Linked DNA regions of Mus musculus: all the other regions are reported to be linked to region 1. The links are microRNA targets in miRTarBase. Many come from high-throughput screens and were not tested one by one. Region 1 holds a microRNA gene; each other region holds the end of a gene's coding sequence.

Evidence for each region. Region 1 holds the annotated microRNA mmu-miR-466q (GUGCACACACACACAUACGU, at 2,781-2,800, opposite strand). A microRNA usually pairs through its seed, bases 2 to 8, with sites in the 3' UTR of a target mRNA and lowers its output. Matches are read on the target gene's strand: a 7mer-m8 pairs with bases 2 to 8, a 7mer-A1 pairs with bases 2 to 7 and ends in A, and an 8mer does both.
Region 2: miRTarBase lists Atf1 as a target of mmu-miR-466q. Seed matches in the 3' UTR shown: 7mer-m8 at 959-965.
Region 3: the mRNA of Nup93 is a reported target of mmu-miR-466q. The part of its 3' UTR that is shown has no 7-base or 8-base seed match.
Region 4: miRTarBase lists Foxk1 as a target of mmu-miR-466q. The part of its 3' UTR that is shown has no 7-base or 8-base seed match.
Region 5: the mRNA of Arhgef9 is a reported target of mmu-miR-466q. Seed matches in the 3' UTR shown: 7mer-m8 at 3,516-3,522 and 7mer-m8 at 3,444-3,450.

The regions. Positions count from the first base shown.
Region 1 is chr3:28,418,721-28,422,787 of GRCm38, reverse strand. Mir466q (microRNA 466q) reads right to left here and starts at 2,845; the gene lies at 2,770-2,845. The region is part of intron 2 of Tnik (TRAF2 and NCK interacting kinase); the gene reads right to left.
Region 2 is chr15:100,259,737-100,263,803 of GRCm38, forward strand. It overlaps Atf1 (activating transcription factor 1), which reads left to right. Exons shown (of 7, transcript NM_007497.3): 7 at 79-1,512. The coding sequence ends at 223. Among named protein-coding and RNA genes, the nearest start is that of Tmprss12, 19 kb to the right of the region's middle.
Region 3 is chr8:94,314,360-94,318,426 of GRCm38, forward strand. Nup93 (nucleoporin 93) reads left to right here. Exons shown (of 22, transcript NM_001357266.1): 22 at 226-707. The coding sequence ends at 336. Among named protein-coding and RNA genes, the nearest start is that of Mir138-2, 7.9 kb to the right of the region's middle.
Region 4 is chr5:142,456,280-142,460,346 of GRCm38, forward strand. It overlaps Foxk1 (forkhead box K1), which reads left to right. Exons shown (of 9, transcript NM_199068.2): 9 at 197-4,067. The coding sequence ends at 477. Among named protein-coding and RNA genes, the nearest start is that of Ap5z1, 5.6 kb to the right of the region's middle.
Region 5 is chrX:95,048,301-95,052,367 of GRCm38, forward strand. Arhgef9 (CDC42 guanine nucleotide exchange factor (GEF) 9) reads right to left here. Exons shown (of 10, transcript NM_001290385.1): 10 at 635-3,854. The coding sequence ends at 3,673. Among named protein-coding and RNA genes, the nearest start is that of Spin4, 24 kb to the left of the region's middle.

The sequences.
Region 1 (4,067 bases):
GCATGGCATTACTGGATATAACCTCCAAATGTACAGCTTAGACCTGGGCACACATTTTTCGTCTCACACATTTTCCTCCTGATATCTCCAGTTTGTCAAGAACACAATTTCACGTTGTAAGAAATCATTCTGAAAGCTCTTGTGTATGGGTAAGTACCTACATGGTTTAACCTGAGCTTCCTGATGACATAAGAAAGGTACCACTCCTGGCCTACTTCCTCAGAAAAAGGGCAACACCTTCCTTTGCAGATGATGGGGAGTTAGGAAGACAGATTATGGCAAGGAAGAGCTTTCCAGTGTGTGGTGGGTATATACAGACAGCTGGGCAGGAAGCCCATCACTGGGTGATGACTGCCCTAACAGGGGGCTGGGGCAAGCTGCACCATGTGGGATCAAACTCTAGAGGGAGATGGAGGTGAGATGTGAATAGATGGAAACAAGGTGTTCTGCCTGGGATGTCTTCAGGAATGTGACATAATCCCAGATAGAAAAGAATTACGTAATATCAGGGAAATGTCTGCTGTTAGGTTTACAGATGCCAATGGCAAGACCACTTGACAGTGAGAATGTCGGAGTCCAGATGATGAGGCTAAGAAGGATGGAGGGAGCCATGAGCAAGCTCTAGTTGAGAAAGAGACCCAAGATGACACTAACAAATAGTAGATTCCCAGCAGAGGGAGCACAGTTAGCTAAAGCACGCATCGTTAACATAATGACTGGCTACATAGCACACACTATTCAGCTGCCATCCTTTCTCCATACCATAAAGGCATAGCTCGACCACATCAGAAAGCAAAAGCCACACAAGGCAGACAGCAACAGCTGAAAACCTGAGGAATTATTTGCCTGTCAGAAAGAATGTTATGTTTGGGAATCTGTGTGGAATTCTTTCTCTGGCTTCAAGATCACAGATCTGCAAGTGTGAGAGGCAAGTAAAACAAAAAAACGAGTTCTAGACCACCGAAGCGACAGCCTTTCATTTGGGTGACCAACAGTGAATCTCTTGAGCATCAGGACAAATTCTAAACAATGAAAATCCCCCCACGCAACCCCCCAAAAAACAATAACAACAACTTAGCATTTTAGAAGCAAAAGGTCTCATTCGTGTGGATTTTCATTAAAGAGTAAAAGAAAAGATCTAAAGCCACAGGAAACTGGAAAGACAAATCAATGGGGGAAATAAGCTCCTGGTGGTCAGGGTGAAGGTGCGTCCCAGCAACGCTGACTGAGCTTTTGCAAAGACAATGTTTGTGTGCTCTGCGTCCTAGTGGCCAGATGTCTTAGCCAATGGTGATGGGAACTGACTAGACCAATCCAGCAGGGCCAATCCAGAGGAGAGACTTGGCAGGAGACTTTGTGTTTTAAGGTGGCTCCTCCAGTGTGAATTTAGGGAAAATATTCAAAGGATCTGTGGCCACTCTCAGATGTTTGCTTTAAAGGGGGCACTTGTGGGGCTAGCAGGATGGCTCAGAATTAAAAGCACACACTGTTCCTACAGAAGACACTAATCTGGTTCCTAGCACCAGTATGATAGCTCAGCCCATCTGTAAATCTAGATAGACTGAGACTGACTCCCACCCACAGTCACCTAGCACACAAATGATGCACAGACATGTATGCAGGTAAAACAGCCATACACATGAAATAAAAATAAATACATCACATTAAAGGGAAAAAAGGGAGAGGAGAGAGAGAGAGAGAGAGGAGGGATGGTTGTCTCAAAAGAATTAAGACCATACTTAAACCACCCTTTACCTGTTTCCTAAGCTTATTCTGTCTTTCATTCTTTTCTGTTAATTGTATCGGGTGAGGGGCTAATGAGAGCTAGCTGTTACTAGCTGAGTGTGCTCTGCTGTCGTTTGGATGGGGTTTTCCCCATTGCAGCTCTGAGCAGAGCACCTGGTAGGCTCCTCGTCATATTTGCCCTAGCCAAGCAAGCCAGGAGCTCAAGGAAACACCTCTTAAGTGTTTCCCAGTTTGGAGGTTGCACACACATCCCATGTTTGGCTGCTATTATAGGCCAGAAGTTCCTAACACAGTTTGACTAAAATACATCCACTCTTTTCATTTGATGTAGATCTAACCTAACTTGTGCAAAAAATACTTATGCAAAGATACACAGTGATGGCAAATGAAATGCTTCTGTTGTTGTAGTTCTTCTTGTGCTCCTGCAGTACCAAATCTCGGCCACGAGCCACTTGTGAAATTCTGCCTTCTTCATTTCTAACCCTGTGAATAATGTCATTCATCCTGGAATGGAGTGATGGGTTACGGAAGGACAGATCAGCGTGACCTCTCTAGTGACTACAAGCCACTACAATTGTCCTCAGAGATGCCCGAGGTCCTCTGAGTCTCTGGAGCCCTTTTTATATATTAATACAATGACATCAAATGCTATTTTCGCTCTTGCCCCACAGTTGTACAGTGGAGTTTCCCAGAGGCTGCATGCCACAAGATGATGTCATCACTGCGGCTAATGGACATTGTGTTATGCATTAGTAATATTGTGCTTTAAAAAGTCCTTATTGTATTTAATGAAATCACATTTATTGGCACTATAATAAATGCTGGTAGACAATCCATCCAAACATACGGTTCTTGCACTCTTCAGTAGTATTAAGAATATAAAGCACACCTATAAGGCAGCTCAGAGGGTAAGGGTGCTTGCTGCCAAGCCTGACAACCTGAGATCAGTCTCTGGGCACTACTGGGTAAAGGAGAAAATTGACTCCTACGAGTTGTCCTATTATCTCCAGAGATGAGATATGGCATGCATGGGTACGTATGTGTGTGTGTGCACATATACTACACACACATACACACACACACACACACACACACACACACACTAAAGAGAAGGTAATAAGAATATAAAGGAGATTTTTAAAACTGTTTCAGGAGTAGAGGGGTCTTCCTAAGGTAGACTTTAGATAAATATGGTAGTGACTGCCTGTAATCTCAACACCCAGGATGTTAAGACAGGAGGACTGAGTTCAAGACCAGGCTAGACTAGAGACCCCTGTTTCAAGCATGGGAAGGAGTTAAAAATAAAGAATTTCACTAAATTCCTTCAGTTTTCTGCATGAAAATTTCTCAGCTCTTTTTTTTTTGCTCCACCCCACTGTTAAGCACTCTCTTGTGATATATACATTTAATACTTCAATAAAGTTTTATTTGCACCTATTGCAAACCCCACCTTACCCCCCAGATAGTAGTAAAGTCTACTAGTAGTATACCCATGTGGACTCAGCTGAGTAGAATCCAGATGCCACATTCTTCAGAAGGGTTTTCACAGCCCAGAGCAAAAAGTATCCAATTGTCTATTTTCTTCAAGGAATATACCGAGGCTTTCTGAAGCATTTATACTACCTAGTCACTTCGGATCCTACTCTGTTTCTCCAAATATGAATTTCATGTCAGCTTAAACCTAACATGGCTCTCAAACGCCAGTTTTCACCCACTACTTCCACTCATTAACATACTTGTGGTGAGCACCTAATAAAAAGAGAAATGGCAAACTCTAGTCACAAATATAAAACACAAAGCAAACTCGAGAAAAGTTTTTGTATATTTTTACAACTCGGGGAATTTTTCCTCACCCAAATCTAATTACCGGGAGCCTAGGAAGGAAAGTTCACATCATAATGTATGATGAGAAGCGTTTCCTCTAATTATACAAACATGATACAAATAGTTCTGTGCAAAGTGCTTCACTGGATAAATATTAGCATGCCATTATCATCGTTCACTGACTAATCTGGGCACTGGCACTTCTCTGCAGACTTCGTAAAAAACAAGGGAAGAGGAAACGAGGTCATGAGTGAGTCCTGCTGCACACAGGAGCACCCTATGTATCTCCATCTCAACTCTCTAATCAGATGAGAAGCATGCATGCTGCCCATGGCTTCTCGATGAAGATACTGATGCTCAGAAGAGGTCGGTACTTTGTTCAAGACTGAAAGAGAAAACTGAAGCTGGAGCCCATCCCATGCCTGTCTCTGTCTACTCTGGTGCCCGCTTTCCAGCAATCTTTTTTCTTAAGAACCCTCACCCGAGGAAGCATGTTC
Region 2 (4,067 bases), not on the chromosome of region 1:
AGAGTCAGGAATAGTGGGGGAAATTTTCCACTTGAAGGGTGCTGCATTTTCCTGATGTGTTCTGTCCATTGTGTTTAGAGAAGCTGCCCGAGAGTGCCGCCGGAAGAAGAAGGAGTACGTGAAGTGCCTGGAGAACCGTGTTGCTGTTCTGGAAAATCAAAATAAAACTCTAATAGAGGAGCTAAAGACTTTGAAGGACCTTTATTCTCATAAAAGTGTTTGATTCTTTAAAGAGAAAGTATTTTTTGTGGACTTTAAAGCTTAAAAATTAGGTGGATTTCTTTTTAGTGGAGTTCTATAAATTCAAAGGTCAAAGAAGCTACTTTGTATTAGGTTTTCACAAACAGACATGATGGAGGGAGAATGGAGATGACCTGCAGGAAGCTACTGTCTCAATTGGAAGCTCCGAAAAGATAGAGTGCTCAAGGAATGGACTTTCAGCAGTTTAAATAGAAATAATGGTCAGCAACGAAAATGGCAGGCGACGTTAGTGAAGCAGTCCGTTCCTGCTACGTCTGTATTTCTCTGTTCCCTAAAACTTGCCTTTGTGTGTGTGCGCGCGTGTGTGTGTGTGTGTGTGTGTGTGTGTGTGTGTGTGTGTGTGTGTGTGTGTGTGTGTGCGTGCGTGCCTCATTTCTGCCAATAAATTTACAAATGTAAAAGCATAAAGCGTTACTAAGTATGTAAATTATGTGGTCTGATTGTGTCGTAATGTCAGGTATGTTAAATGAGTTTTTAGCAGTTAGTTTGGTTGGACTCGATTGGTTTGGAGATCTCCTAAATGGCGTGGAGACACATCAGCCTGTGGTGGAGGTGGTTTGTGACTTTGCTTTGTCAGAATGGAAAGAGAACTGTCTGCAAGTTTGACAGTTTAATAGTTTGTTTTTTGCTTCCTCTGATAAGGGCAAGTACATAATAGATTGGTTTTGTTTTTTTTGTTTTTTGATTCTCTAATCCTGTGTGCAGTTGAAGATCATTCTCTTGCGCTTTAACAGAATGAAGTGTTTACAAAGGCCCTCAAATGTTTTAAATAACCTGAATATGCACACCAAAGCTTTCCTGAGGGGTTTTATAATCATCTTACCGTAAGGTTTGTCAGGTTCTAAAACAGTTACTGAGGCAATCTTACATTGAGACTATTGTGTAATGTAGCCCATGGTACCTTTATAAAAGAAGTGACTGCCGATATATTTTTATAGTGAATCTTTATAAATTCTAATGTTGAGTTTTTAATGATTATTTTAAATGTTTATATAGTTTGTTTAGCAAAAAAAATTTTGTATCTCAAAGTATCATTTTTATATTATGAGAAGAGTAAAATTTTCAAATTGGCTGATAATTGAATTGTATGTTTTATATAAAGTTTTATCTAAAGTTTCAGCTGTGGTCAGTACACCAGCATTTAACCTCTGTATTCTAATCTGTGTTCACTTGGAAACTGCAGAACTGTTGTGTACCTACAGAGTATGTTTCATATTGTCTGTGAAATTAAAAAACATTTGATAAGATTAAGTTTTCGGAATGCAAAACATGTTTGATATAACAACTGCCAAGCCCACCAGCAGCCACTGTGTGAGATACTCACTGAGGAATTTTTAGCCTTAAAGTGCAGCCAGATTCTAAGCCTGGGGTCTGAGTGTGCTTTTCAGTAGGGTGCACTTGTGCTCTGATTCAGGAAGAACCAGTTAGAGTGAACAGGGAAGTTGCTGTTCTGTGGAGCCCTGGGACCTCACACCAGTGGTCAGTCACCTCGTCAGTCTGCAGTGGACCCCAAGGAGGGTTCATCAGTTGGAGCACAAAGGCTATTCCTTACTTTCATTTAATTGGTTGCCCATCAGCCTACGTGATCAGGGTGTTCCACATTCCCCTGTCCTTTGTAAGCCAGTGTAGCCACATGTAAGGCTTCTCAGGTCAGTTCCATTTTGTTCTTTCTGTGTTGAACCTCACACTTGGCCAGACCAGCACTCTACAGTGAAGCAGCTTCCCAGGCCAGTAAATGATTTTGTGATGATTTTTAAGCAAAGAGGAAGAATAGGTAGGCATTCCTTGCTCACGGAATGGTAGATAGATGCATTCTGACTTAGAATTGTCAGTGAGTTGCGGTGATGGTGGTTCACATTCCCAGGAAGTGCCACAAAGAAGCGGGGTATGGTGACGCACGCCTTTATTTAATCCCAGCACTTGGGAGGCAGAGGCAGGTGAATTTCTGAGTTCGAGGCCAGCCTGGTCTACAGAGTGAGTTCCAGGATAGCCAGGGCTACACAGAGAAACCCTGTCTTGAAAAACAAACAAACAAACAAAAAAAAAAGTGCCACAAAGTTAGCACCAGAGAGTAATGCCTGAGGGCTAAGGAGGCAGTCAGGACGCAGAGCAGATCTAAACAAGTAATACGCTATAAAGTAAGACTTGGTCTCACTCTAACGCACATGCAAGGCACTCTGTCCACCAGGCTAAAGAGTCCAGGGCATAAAAGCTGGGATTGAAGCAGTGGTTAACCCACTGTAGCGTGTGGTGCACACCTGGGATCTCAGTTGAGACCAAGAGCCTGAAACAGGAGGACCAAGAATTTAAGACCAGGCTGGGTGTGGCGACACACACTTTTTAATTGTATGTGCATTGGTGTTTCGCCTGTGCATCTGTCTGTCTGAGGATGTCAGAATCCTCTGGGACCAGAGTTACAGACAAGTTGTGAGCTGCCGTGTGGGTGCTGGAAGTTGATCTGGGTCCTCTGGAAGAGCAGCCAGTGCTCGTAACAGCTGAGCCATCTCTCTAGCAAGATGACTTACACCTTTAATGTCAGCACCCAGGAGGAAGAGCAAGGTAGATCTCTGAGTTCAAGGCCAGGCTGGTCTACAAAGCACATTCTAGGATAGCCAGGGCTACATAGAGAAGAAACCCTATCTGAAAAAGAGTTTGAGCCTGTTACTTGAGGCCACACATCTCAAATGAGTTTAACCATTCAGTAAACCATTAACCCCATGAATTGCATCTCCAGAGCTGAAGGAAAAGGCTGACTCCCAAAAGTTGTCCTCTGACCACAGCCATCTGGCATGCACCTGCATTCACACACATCCACAGACAGTATTAAATTTATTTTAAAAAACAGAGCAATCCTACCTTCACCCTGGTACATACCTTTAGTAAACTCCAGTGAGGCACTTCTTTTATAGCTCCATCAAGAAAATTCTTCATGGGGCTGGAGAGATGGCTCAGTGGTTAAGAACACTGACTGCTCTTCCAGAGGTCCTGAGTTCAGTTCCCAGCAGCCACATGGTGGCTCACAGCCATCTGTAGTGAGATCCAATGCCCTCTTACTTCTGTAAGTATAGCTACAGTGTACTCACATATAATAAAATCTTTTTTAAAAATTAAAAGGATTCCTCATGTTTGATAAAGGTGTGAATACAAATTCATGTAGATACAGAAAAACATGATACTCTCCCTGAAGCTACACAGTAAATAACAAAAGTGATGTTAAATTCTAGGTTGGGTCAAACCCAAAATGGGTGTTCTTGGTCATTCCAAATGTGTCTTCTCACCAATGGTTTGGAGCTAGAAAGGCTTTTGAGAAAAAAAAAAAAAGCAGAAAGGTTCTGGTCCTTGTCTGAAAATAGTTTAAAAACCTAGTAGGTAAGATTTTTAAAGGTTCTATTTAAGTGTGTCCACTAGGTGGCAACTCTCCTTTAAAATCACACTCTACAAACCTAAACACTAGTATGTAGAAGATAATACAGACCATGGGGTGGCTCAGCCGGTAAAGGCACTTGTGCCAGGCCTGACATCGCAAGTATGGTCACACAGTGGAAGGATGAAATGAACTCCCAGAAGTTCTCTGACTCTTACATGTGCATCGTGTCATGCATGTATGCACAAGAACATATGAAAATGTCATAAAGCAGGAAAAGTGTGTACTACCCAGGACAGGTGACACGAAGAGGAGAATGCATACAGGAGGCCCCACAGACCCTTTCTTAGGATTTCTTCCCCACAGGGAGGCAGCTACTTGAGTTTAGTGTGCCTATGCAATGTGTGTATGTTCACTACATATATTCATAGAGATGGTGTAA
Region 3 (4,067 bases), not on the chromosome of region 1:
GCCGTTTCTGGCAGTCTCCAGCCTTTGTTCACCAAAAGCTTTGACACCCTGTGGAATGGGGCTCCAGTGGACAAATTTATTTTTAAAGGGACATAAAGCTGGAATAATGTGACAGTAGAGGCTGAGACATCCTGACACTGAGTGCACAACATAGAAGAACCTGGTGGGTGCCTCACCCTAACCTGCAGTTAACCAGTTTTCTTGTCTTGACCCCTTTTCTCTCAGCAACTCCGAAGTCAAGCCAGAGCCCTGATTACCTTTGCTGGGATGATACCGTACCGGACGTCGGGGGACACTAATGCCAGGCTGGTGCAGATGGAGGTCCTCATGAATTAAGCGCTGTGTTTGATGGGGTCTGGGACTGCACACTGTCAGTATATTAGGCACGTGGGCCAGCTGGGGTGGGTTTCCAGTTTTGTTTCTGTTGTGTTGTGTTTTGTTTTTTGTATTATGTATTTTTGTCAATACCAATAAATTTCTTTGATTTGTATTTCTTTTAAACATTCTTTTTCCTTTTTTTTTTCCTTTAAAATTTTAGGTTGTTTTCTTGTTTTGGGGTGTGTGTGTGTGTGTGTGTGTGTGTGTGTGTGTGTGTATTTACTTGGGAAATGTTGTCCACAGTTGTTTTGGGGCCAGAGAATGAGAGGCTACATAGGTGTGTAAATCTGGACAATGTGACTTTAAATGATTAAAAAAAATTACCCACCATGAGCAAGGAATCAAAGCCTTTGGATGTCATAGTCCATATAGCAGAATCACTGTGCTTTTCCACAAGTGTAGTTGAGTGTGAAGCCAGCTTTGGTTGGTGTAAGATCTGTGGGTGGAATACCAAGTGCTGCTGTTCTCTGGAGTAGTCTTTGAGGTCATCTAGCCTCACACCAGCCCTCATTCCTCAGCCAAGATCCCAGGAGATTAATCTGCTGGTGTACGTTCCAGAGACGGGTCAGAGCATGGGCGTGGAACTGCTGGAATAGAAGCAGTGCAAGTACCCAGCTCACAGTGTAGAGTGGGTGAGCCCATCCACTCCTCTGCTCTTCAGAAAGCAAGCTCATGGGCTCATCCTGCATGTCTCAGTACAGGAACCATTTGATACCTGCATTCGGAGTATTTGATCCCTGAACAGTAGTTGTCATGTTACTGACCCTACTTCTTCCACAGGACCAGTAGCCCTGAGCTAAACTAGAAAGATCAAAATGAGCATTTGCTCCTGAGCCAACCAGTTGAGCAAGGTCTGCCCCTCAGGAACACATTTTCTCACAGGTTCTCCAAAAAGGATTTTGTTCTAGGGAGAACTCTCTTACCACAGGATAGTCACTTCCATTTCTTGTCCTTTGGGAAAGGGCTAATGGATCAATAATGGGCACAGATTTCATGATCCATAAAAGGAATTACTTGAGGATCCTCCAGGTCATGTTCTATCTTCCTTTTCTTTGGTCTGATCTTGTTAGCAGGACCCAAACCTGAGCTTTACTATGAAGTCACAGAAGGCAAGCCCTGTAGGTGTATCTGAGCAAGGTGTAGCTCATGTCTGTGCCCCAGGAGCTGACATGATGTAATGAGAGTACTCCAGATTTTCATAGCATGTAACTAACTTTATTTCTTTTTCTTTTTCTAAGATTTATTTATTTAATGTATATGAATACACCATTGCTCTCTTAAGACACACCAGAAGAGGGCATCAGACCCCATTACAGATGGTTGTGAGCCACCATGTGGTTGCTGGGAATTGAACTCAGGACCTCTGGAAGAGCAGTTGGTGCTCTTAATTGCTGAGCCATCTCTCTAGCCCCCTAACTTTATTCCTTAAATTGGCTTTTTTACCACAATTCAAGAAGATGGGAGTTGGTTGTAGCCTCTGTGGCTTGTCTCTTCTTCACCCTATGAGAGTCAGTTGTAGATTTGTGTTTGCTTTATGCAGTCTGGCTGCATATAGAACTGTACACATGTCCTGCCAGAAACCAGATGAGACGAAAAGCTAGTAGGGATGAAAAACAGCTGCTTGGATAGTGGTGTAGTCAGTGGCTAGCAGGTTAGGAGTTGGTTTAAGGAGACCTTTGTGGGAAGAATGAGGTACTGTTCGAGAAGAGTTAAACCTCCCACTTGCTCTATATGCTGATTCTGTGACTACATGTGGCATGCTGGGCTGGTGTATGTCCATTGACTGCGTGACTTTTGGGCAGATTATTAGCTTAATCCATCCATCTCCACTCATTTGTTCAGAGAACGAAATTCTTTCCTGATTCATTGTGATTTCATTGTTTACCTGGAGAAATAAGAAAATGCTCCTGGAGTCTCTTGTTTTCCAGGGCTGAGTCTCTAGTCTTGAACAAAATCAAGGGTATTTTGAGACAGAGCGGGTAAGAGGCTGCCTAAGGATCTCATAATTAACTCCTGGGGGACCCCATAGGGGAGGGAAGAGTTAAGAGACCCAGCACCTTTTCTGGGCCTGGAGATTTGATCTCATCTTCCCACTGTACCCCCCTCCCCATTATTTTTTTTCTTCCTGCTCATAAGTGAACTGCTAAGTAAAGTTGGGTAACTTCAAGTGAACAGTGAGGTAGAACCCGCATAGAGCCAGTCTTCTGGTTTTGCAGCTCCTGAGCTGGGAAGTTCATTGAAGAGCTGGAAGCTTCTTCACACTGGAGGCAGAAAGCAGACCCCACTCCTGCACCATGTAAACTCAGACTGGAGCCCAGAGGAGTTCCGTGGTTACTGCTGTGATGCTTTGGGATATTTTAAGCAAAGAATTGTGGGTCTTCCCACCTTAACCCAGTATTGCCTGATTTCAATAACAAAACAAAGGTGTGTTGGTTCTTGCTTTGGATTTCAGAACTGACTGTTCTAGTTGAATAAATGCTTACATGGTCCAAACCCTCAAAGTTAACTTAGCTGAATGTGCCAGCTCCTGCTGCCCTAGGCTCCACACCCATGTTTTTTCTTGGGCATCAGAGCCTCTGCTTGTAATTCATTGGATATTTCATGTATCTTGCCATGAGTCCATTCCTTCTATCCATGACATTCATGCCTGGAGCTTGCTGAATACTATGCTACAAATAGCCCCCAGACTGGCATGTTGCCCTGAGCAGGCTAAAGTGGTGTGGACTGATTGGCTACAGGGTGAGCTGAGTCATCCCTCAGGTAGGGCGATGGATGAAAACTCCAAGACTGAATACTGTTGCATACTTAGGGTAGTGTGGGTAGAGATGCAGCATTACTCTGGCATGCATTGTTCCTGGCTGCCTTTGCCCTTGAGCATCGGTTTCTTGGGCATGGTGCAGGTAAAAACACTGGCTATTGACATTCACTGGCTTATTGCAGTAAGAAGGGTATCCAGTTTCAGAGTCAATGATTGTAGCCTTCTGGGGGTCCCAGAAGACCTGGCCCAGCCTTTTAGTGGCAGGCCATGAGCTCCTTCACTGGGGACAGATTTAGCATATGAACACAGAGTCACCTCTGGGTGCAAATGACAGCATCAGTTGCAGTTTGTCTGGTGTGCCTTTGGCTCTGCATCCACTGGCACTCAGTAACTGGAAGCCTAGGGCCTGGTGCAGGCCGCCAGGAGCTTCGCAGCTACTTGGATAACCCTCCTTTGCTGCCATTCACACTTGAGAGGTAGCAAAAATGGCAGCCAGATGAGAAGGCCATAACTGGCCTTCAGGCAGGTTGACTGACTGGGACAATTGGGGGCCCCAGAGGGCCTTTATCCTGTCACCTGCCAGATGTTTGTCCATTGGGGCTTCAAATGCTGTGTATGCTAGAGGGGGGTTGCGGGGAAGGCAGGACACAGGCCTCACTTGAGTAATTTCTGTTGGTAATGTGGTGGGCAGATTCTCTCCTCTCCTCTTAGCCTTTCAGATGTCACTCGTGTTTGTGGGGAGGGAATGGTGGGCGAGTCGGTGTGTGCGTGGTCCTTTCCGTGCAGTAACTTGTGTGTTTGCTCTGTCCAGGACGCTTCCTTCACTCCACCCCTGTCTATCCAGTAAATGTTCTCCCAATGCGCCATGTGCTCCCTTTGCTCTGTTCTCCAGTGGAATGGGAGCTCCCTAGCTGAGGCTCCCAGAAGGTGA
Region 4 (4,067 bases), not on the chromosome of region 1:
GTGACAGAGGCAGCAAAGAAAAGGGCCCTGAGTGGAGTCGGGTGTTGGGTGTCTGACTCAAACTTGCTGTCGGCGGGGAGAAGGAGTCTGTGTGAGGAACGGGCAGAGAAAGAACTGTGGCTCTGGCTTTGCTGCTCGGGTCAGTTAGTGGTCAAATAGTGATGACCCTTAAGTAACCTCTTCTTCCTACCGCCAGCCCTCAGCAGCCCCCTGCAGCTCCTGGCAGCCCAGGCAAGTTCATCCACTCCAGTGGTCATCACCCGGGTGTGTGAGGTGGGGCCTGAGGAGCCAGCAGCAGCCGTCTCAGTAGCCGCTAATGCAGCGCCAACCCCAGCCGCCTCCACTACCACATCTGCCTCTTCTAGCGGAGAGCCCGAGGTCAAGAGGTCCCGGGTAGAGGAACCCGGTGGGACAGCCACCACACAGCCCACAGCTATGGCAGCCACCGGCCCTCAGGGCCCGGGGACCGGCGAGTGAAGTGTCGCCTGCAGGAAGGTGGAGTGAAACTCACGCCACAGGAGCCCTAGTGGCCAGCAGCTACATTCAAGGACCGAGTGGAAAAGCCCATCACAGCCTGCAGCCCTCATGTGGGTGGCCGCCGCACTCGGACAGTTTCCTTTTTATCTCCTGTCCTCCCATGGTTTGAAACAAACACATAAACACGTACAGACAACTTGATTGTATGAATCTGGGGGTTCTGTGTGTTTATTTACCCCTCTCTCATGCCATCGCCTCTCCCCAGTTCTTGGGGGAGAAGGTCTATCTAGCCCAGCTCCTCAGGAATGGATCCCAGGCAGCGCCCACAACAAGAGCCTGAGCCCCAGGCCTGGACAGAAGCACAGTGCAAACCCAGGCTCCTCTCTCTGAGAGTGGGTCCACGGATTTCCTATTTGTGACTGATCCGGGAATAGACCAGAAAACAGAATGGCAAGAACTTCCCAGCCACAGGCTAGGATACAGAGCCCTCTCCCCAAAAGTGACAGAGACTGTGGCATTAACTGGGGTCAGGGAGATCTGCTTTGGCTTTGGACCCTAAATATTTCTTTCAGCTAAATATGGAATCTGGGCTCATCTCCAACCTGAGACACACAGAGCAGACCATGTGTCTCTGAGGTTCCCTTTTGTAGGCAGCCAAGCAACACCAGGCCCTGCGCTCGACCACACCAGGCCCTGGTGAACATGCCGCTCTCCCTGATAACTCCAAGAAGGATGGGCGGCTCCCACATTGATGGATCAAAGAGCTCTGGGTTGAAAGTCAGCCCAGGGCCAGTGCCCACAGCACTGAATGAGTCGAGAGCTGCAAGCTACAAACGGATCTCCAGGGAAGCCTGAGCCAGCTGCAAGGGAAGTCGGTCAGCCACTTGCTCAGCAGGAGGATGATGGATGGTGGGTGGTATGCGGCAGGAAGACAGCAGAGGATCTGGGCGGTGATCTGCTCACACCGTCTCCTCCCCCACCCACCCCACCCCCATTCCAGTTAACTGAGAACCCTGTCCAGTTTGAAAATGGAAACCCTCTTTTCTACCTGACCGTTATCCTCTGGAAAGGAAACTACCTCTCCGGACAGCAGTCGGTGCCAAGTTTGAGTACAGTGCAGCAAGAACCAAAGCGTGGGTGTCAGCTGAGGACTTGGACGCCCGGGGAAGGTCCCTTTGCATGCCGGACAAGTGACCAACAGCACTTTAACATACACCACACCAAGTCTCGTGAGCAGGAGCCATCAAATGTTTCTCTCTGTGAGAATGAGAGTTGATTTTATAGAAGCAGTCATGGGGGCTGTGCGACAGGAAACTCCAAAGCAGCCAGAAACTCAGTGTTGGTCCTCCTAGAGGGTGGTCGGTAAGCAGCTGGCAACAACTTGGACAGAGCCCCAGGCCCTGTCGTTGGTATCAAACCACCCACCAGTCAGCCGCCTTCTCTGCCTGGTGCCGGTCAGAAGAGGCCCAAGGGCCCTGTGGGCAGAGAGCAGGCTGGACAAGCTGCCTTTGCTGGAAGGGACTCCAGACCTGGAGGCTGTGGTCACAGGAGAGCAGATGACCGGGATGGATAAGTCCAAGCTCCGATGTATGGCTGCTGCCATTGAAGCCACCAGTGCCCCCCACACATCAGGGACCAGGGCGGAGCACCTGCCTCCTCTCTTGAGCTATCTCCCAAGCTCCCCAGCCAGTCATTTCTGTAGTACTCGGCTTCAAGCCAGTGTTTTGGAGGTCTCCTGCCTATTGCCTGGAAAGGTTCAGAGAAGTGGGGCTGGTGTGATGGTGGCTGGGGGAGGGGTTTCCCCTCAGAGGGGGCAGAGGGCTGGCTCTGTCTCACATCTTCCCTTGGTACCTGGCATGAACTTCTCTCTGTGTGCCTGGTGTGAGCCTGGGGTTAGGGAAGAACGAATGGGGTGGAGATCTGAGTTGCGTAGTGGGCTGAGGTGACAAGGGACGTTGGTGCCAGCTGCTGATCTTTCCCTCCATCACCCTTTACTCCAGGGCTGTCCATGGTCACCCTCCAAGGCAGATTAAGATTGTGGATGGTCATGAGCAGGTTGCTGTCCCAGTTCCTGAAACGTGGGCTCCGTGCTCTGAGGCAGATCTTCACCATTAACAGGGGCGTGGAAGGGTATGGAGAGAGAGAGAGAACACACACTGTCCCGGTACACGGCCTGACGGCCTGGTTGGACAGCCTGAGCTACAAGGAGGCTAGACTAGTGCTGCTGCTCTGCGGAGTGGGTTTGGTCATCTGCTGGGCAGAAGCTGGCACCAGAGCGTGCTCCCACAAGCTCTGAGCCAGGAGGGCCATGTCCACGCACTGTGTGGCCCATGGCTGGCAACCCTGGAGCACCCCACTAAGCCCTGGGTTGGGGGAACAATTCAGGAACAGATGTGAAGCCTTTATAGACAAAGGAACCCCTTGGGCAGTGGTAAAACAGTGTAAGGTGGGGGTTAAAGGTCAGTGAAATGTAAGAAGAAACCCTTCCCCATAGAGAGAAACGGGTGGATTGTTCCTGTTCTTCCTCAAAATCCTCAAATTTCATAACACCCACGTGACATTGCTCGCCCAGTCCCTCCCTCCCCATCCGAACTGCACAGTGCCTGCTTAGAATAAGTCAGAAAGGGGTGGCGTCTCAGCTCTAGTGAAAGGTCCCTCATGTGTGGGAAACATCACATCCTGGCCAGGAGAGGCAAAGTCACCACAAATGGCCACAGGGTACCCCGAGGCTAGGTCAGGGGGAACAGAGCGGCCACCTATATCCTCACCTCCGGTCTCCCAGAATACCTCTGCTTAGAAGCAATATTAAAAAGGATAAGTCAAGCTGTTCCAAAGATTGCCACTGCAGACACCACTTCCCTTCAGAGCAGGCCCTCTGACAGGGACTTTGGCTTGCTGGGCCGGGTGGGCGGGGCAGAGAACAGAGGCCTTCTGCCTGCTGCTTCAGTCCTGCTCCCCATTTAATGCCCCCTTTCATCTTGGGAGTTCTCATGAACTCAGGGTGGGTCTTGCACCCACCTGCTTGTTGGGCTCTAGATTGTTTTGTTTTGGGTTTTGTTTGTTTGGGTCTGTCCTGCAAGGTGAGCTACTAGGCCAGTGCTCTACCACTGGCTGTACTCCCAGCCATTTTGATTTTTTAAACTTGAGATGGGACTCACAAAGCTGCCCAGGCTGGCCTTGAACTCCCAGTCCTCTTGCCTCAGCTTCCTGAATTTCTGGGGTGATGGCCTACATGCTACCATGGCCCAGCGCTGTTTGCGTTTTGTCTTTTTTTGTTTGTTTGTTTCTGTACCAAAAGCTGCTACACTGGTGACACAGCAGGGTGTGGCCTAGGTGCCCCCACAGACTGGCATATGGCACGTCTCTCTCTCTCTCTGCCCTCCCTAACCCCTAACGTCACAGCTGCTTGGCAAGGGAACATTTTTGAACCAACCACAGATGTTTCCTTAGGAAAAGTAGGTTTTCTACTCGTGGTGAAGAACAAAAGCCCCCTGAGTGGTCCTGGCTGCTCCTCTGCATTGCCTCACTGCTCCAAGGTTCCCTCTATCAGGCCTCAGCTCTACTGCAGGGAACATTCTAGAACCTGCCCC
Region 5 (4,067 bases), not on the chromosome of region 1:
TGGAAGGCTATGAGACATTCTTATTCATTTGGACTGTGACCGGCAACATTACATGGCATGTGCAGGCCTAGTGGAAGGCAAAGTATTTGTGTACACAGACTATACATAATAAAGAAAATAATAAGGTCACTGTGTCCACACATGGACAATTAAAGTCTACTTTTAAGGAGTCAAGCCCACAAGTTTTAAGAGGGAACCTGGAGTGGGAGATTCCTAAGTGTTATGGTACATTTAAAATGCAGTGTTAAAACTGTCACAAATACCCAGGTTGTATTTTGGACCTGTACACACAAGAGAAATGAACAAGATCGGGAACAGGCCACTAGGTTTTAGCAAAGTACCAGGTAAAATGAAAGAAAGTCCTACCTATAAAAATATTTTAACTACTCATGGCTACAGGCTTTGAGTACAAACACTGTTCTTTTACTCTTCCAGAAATGATAGAAAATGTTTCCCAATATCCCTTGGAATACTTTGGAAATGAAACAGCAGGATAAGAAACTCAAGATAGTTAGAGCAAGTAGTCTCACAGCACACAAATTGCCTTTATTTTGCAATTGGCCACACACACACACACACACACACACACACACACACACACACACATACACAAATGGCACAACTGTGCCTGAAATTCTTTTTTACTTCTTTTATTGAACTCCATAAATATTTTCATAAGGCTTTATGTCATTACAACATCTTTTTTGTTGTTGTTGTTGTTAAACATTTCCAAATACACAATTTTGACACTTGTTTGACAGGGTCAAACAGTCGGATAATAGAAACAAAAGAATAAGCCGGCAAATGCAGAGCAGCAGGGGTCAAAATCACTGTTGCCCATCTAGTCACCCAGCCCGCCCCACCCCCAAAGCACTAAAATAGCACTATTTGGCTTCATACTAGAATTGTTAGAACTCTCTTGCTGCTGTCCTTAATAGATCAATTAAAGATATACACATAGAAAGTGGATGAGAGAAGGAGAGAAAAATTGTATTTCTGTATTTAGGACCTCCCTATAATAGAACTCATAGAACAAACTCACAAAACTGGAGAAAGAAAGTTCGGGCCTCATTGAGTTGAGGAAAGGGGAGTCTGGGGCCATGCAGAAACAGGAGAAGTATAGAGTTATTTTTGGGGGGGATTATATGGCCGTGGGGCTGCAGCAGGTTCAGCTACTGAGTCCAGGGAATTGATGAGTTTCCCTTTGGGCTACTGGCCACTGATCTATTTGGAGCTGTAGGTGTGAGGGTGGAGCCAGGCATTCCAATCCAAGGAGAGCGGAGTTGGTAGTGCCTTCACAAATTACTACATCTTGTAAGGTTAGTGGACTGGATGGAGAAACAGGATGATGAGAGGTAATACCCCTGATCTGGGAGCCTTGAATGTTGGACTCAGAAAGGGGAAAAGAATGAGAAGGTCTGGCCAAAAGATACTATAGATCTAGAAACCTTTCAAAACAAGCCCTCCTGGTGTGCTCCTAACCCTGGGAGAAAGTTGCCAAGGCCAAGCCTAGTGAGAATGGGTAGAAAGTAGGAAATGAAGGTGCAATAAGGGAGGCCTGCATAGGAAGTGAAACACATTTCAGTTTGCCAAGGGAGAGCATTGTAGTCTATGTGCTCGATGCCAGATTTCTTGCCATAAGGGCTTATGTAGCTCTATCATATGCTGAGCAGTGATAGCCAGTCCCGAGCCCTGGTATTCTGCTAGTTAGCCTTGATAACTACAAAGTCTGACAACAATGTGTAATTTGTTTTTCAGAGGGGAAAGATTCTCAGGGGTAGGGCTTAATCTAGGTCAAGAAGTACAAATTCAGCTTTTTTGAAGACCTCATACAGCTATGGTTGCTACTTGGTAAGCTTAGATCTTTTTTTTTTATAATGAAGTATTTTCTTGTGAGGTCCAGGACAGACACAATCTCCAGATTCCTGGATAGGGTGGGTTTTCACACTTCTTTATATTCTATTGTTCTTGCTCCAATCTCTAGCCATAGAAAGGGCTAAATGACAAAGAATAAGCACTCTTGTACTCATGAGGATTCTGATTTTTGTGGGAAACATTCTGGTCAAATGGAAACCCTGCCAAGAAATAACTTCAGTGTTCTACCTCAGATCTTTTCTTTTCCCCCAGATGTAAAAGTAGCCCTAGGCTTCTCTACCACTTGCCTCAGTTGTCCTGGGATGGGAGTCTGTCTGGAACAAAGCCTGCTTTGAGTGCCATAATGGCTCTAACTATCCCATACTCGCAATCCTCTACCTGAAAGACAGTAAGGGCAAAAAAAGGAGACAGAGATTATCCATGCAATCTGCTAACAATTGGGGATGTTTCTTATAATTTCAGTGATGCAAATTACTGGTATATTATCTTAGATCAAGCCTCTCTCTTTTCCTGATGGTCTCTATAAGATGCTGTTGTCAACCTTGAACTCTTTTCAGGTTAATCTGAAGGTGGCTAATGCTCTTGGCCAAGCAGGTTTTTCTCTTGAACGCCTCCATAAACTACTAACAATGATGCCTTATGAATCTGAAAACAGAAGCAGGGGTTACCAGAACACTATAAAGAGAGCCCTGCCTGACACCTACCTACCATCTATGAGTTATGGGGTGGAGATAAATCTCTTCCCCAGGATGCAAAGTCTCAATTTCTTTGCTACTAGTTTAGTTAAACCTTTTGCCTAGGGAAGAGATAGACTGAAAAGGAGATCCATAACAAAAGAGGCTTGGAAAAGAGACTAATGGACCCAAACTAATTCTTAGGTGGAAACTTTCAATGGCTTAGCATTGCTGTTATATGGGAAGAAATCACCTAAATAAAAACTATCCCCCTAACAGAAATCTTCTCGACTCTCATTACATTCGTTCACTCCTTTGTTTCTGTTTGGTTTTATATCCTTCCACAATACCTAAAACAGTGAAAGCAATAGAAATACCAAGCAGATAAGTCACAGGGCACAACAGAGCATGTATAGACTGGCACAATTGTGGACACAGGATGCTGGGAAGAGGCTGTTGGTATAACTGCAGGGCTACAGGAACATTTGCAGATGGGTGCATGAGGAACAGGAGACGGGAATCCTCCCCTTCTCAGTGGAAAGTGACAGGGAGAGAAATGAAATCCCAAACCCACTACATAAATTCAATTCAAAAGTTATCAGCGTCAGTATCATAAGGAAAGGGAAATAAAACAATGCAAATACTCTATGGTAATAATGACAGGTCAGTGAACTAGAGGAGCGAATAAGTTATCTTAACAGGAAAAATAACAGAGAGTAAGGGGGAGGAAACAAGGTTAAGAACTAAAAATTTGAAGAAGTGATTACATGTTTGGAAATCAGTGGTACTTCTTACCAACTACAGATTTCAACTCCCCAAAACAACAGAAAATGGTTTTGGTCCTTCTCTGTGTGTGTATATGTATGTATGTGTGCATGCATGTGCATGCATATGTGCACACATGCCCACACACACACGTGTATACGTAAAGGTCTATGTGTGCGTGTGTGTGTGTGCATGTATGTGTGCACACACACGCACACACACACACTCACTCTCTCTCACACACACACATTTTATATATATATATATATATAAATTTTCAACAGTGCTTCTCCGAAAAAAAGGTCCATCTATAAATATAATTTTATTTATTTTAAAATTATCTGCCTTCCTATAGGTATTATTTTTTGAAGGGGGTTAACCTACTGAAGTTTTGCCAGAATGGTGACTGGCTGCGTTTCGGTTCAGTGAACTCAAACACTTGAGACTGAGCGATGCCATCGGGGACCAGGTACTGGCCCTGGTTTAACGGGTCCTGTGGTGGTGGGTAGGAAGGAGGAACTGAGCGGGCAGAGTTGACACCTAGAGCAAATAGGAGACCAAAGGAAAGAGTATAAATTAAGTACCAAGTGAATTTTCAAATGAACAGTGATCACTCACAGTACACTAGTTTTGTGAGTTTTACCTGGTAACGGATTGAATAACCCTAATTCCAAAATCTGAAATACTCTCAAATCTAATAGAAAGTAGAAAGTCTATACAAATATTTCAAAATAAAAAAAATATATATATACA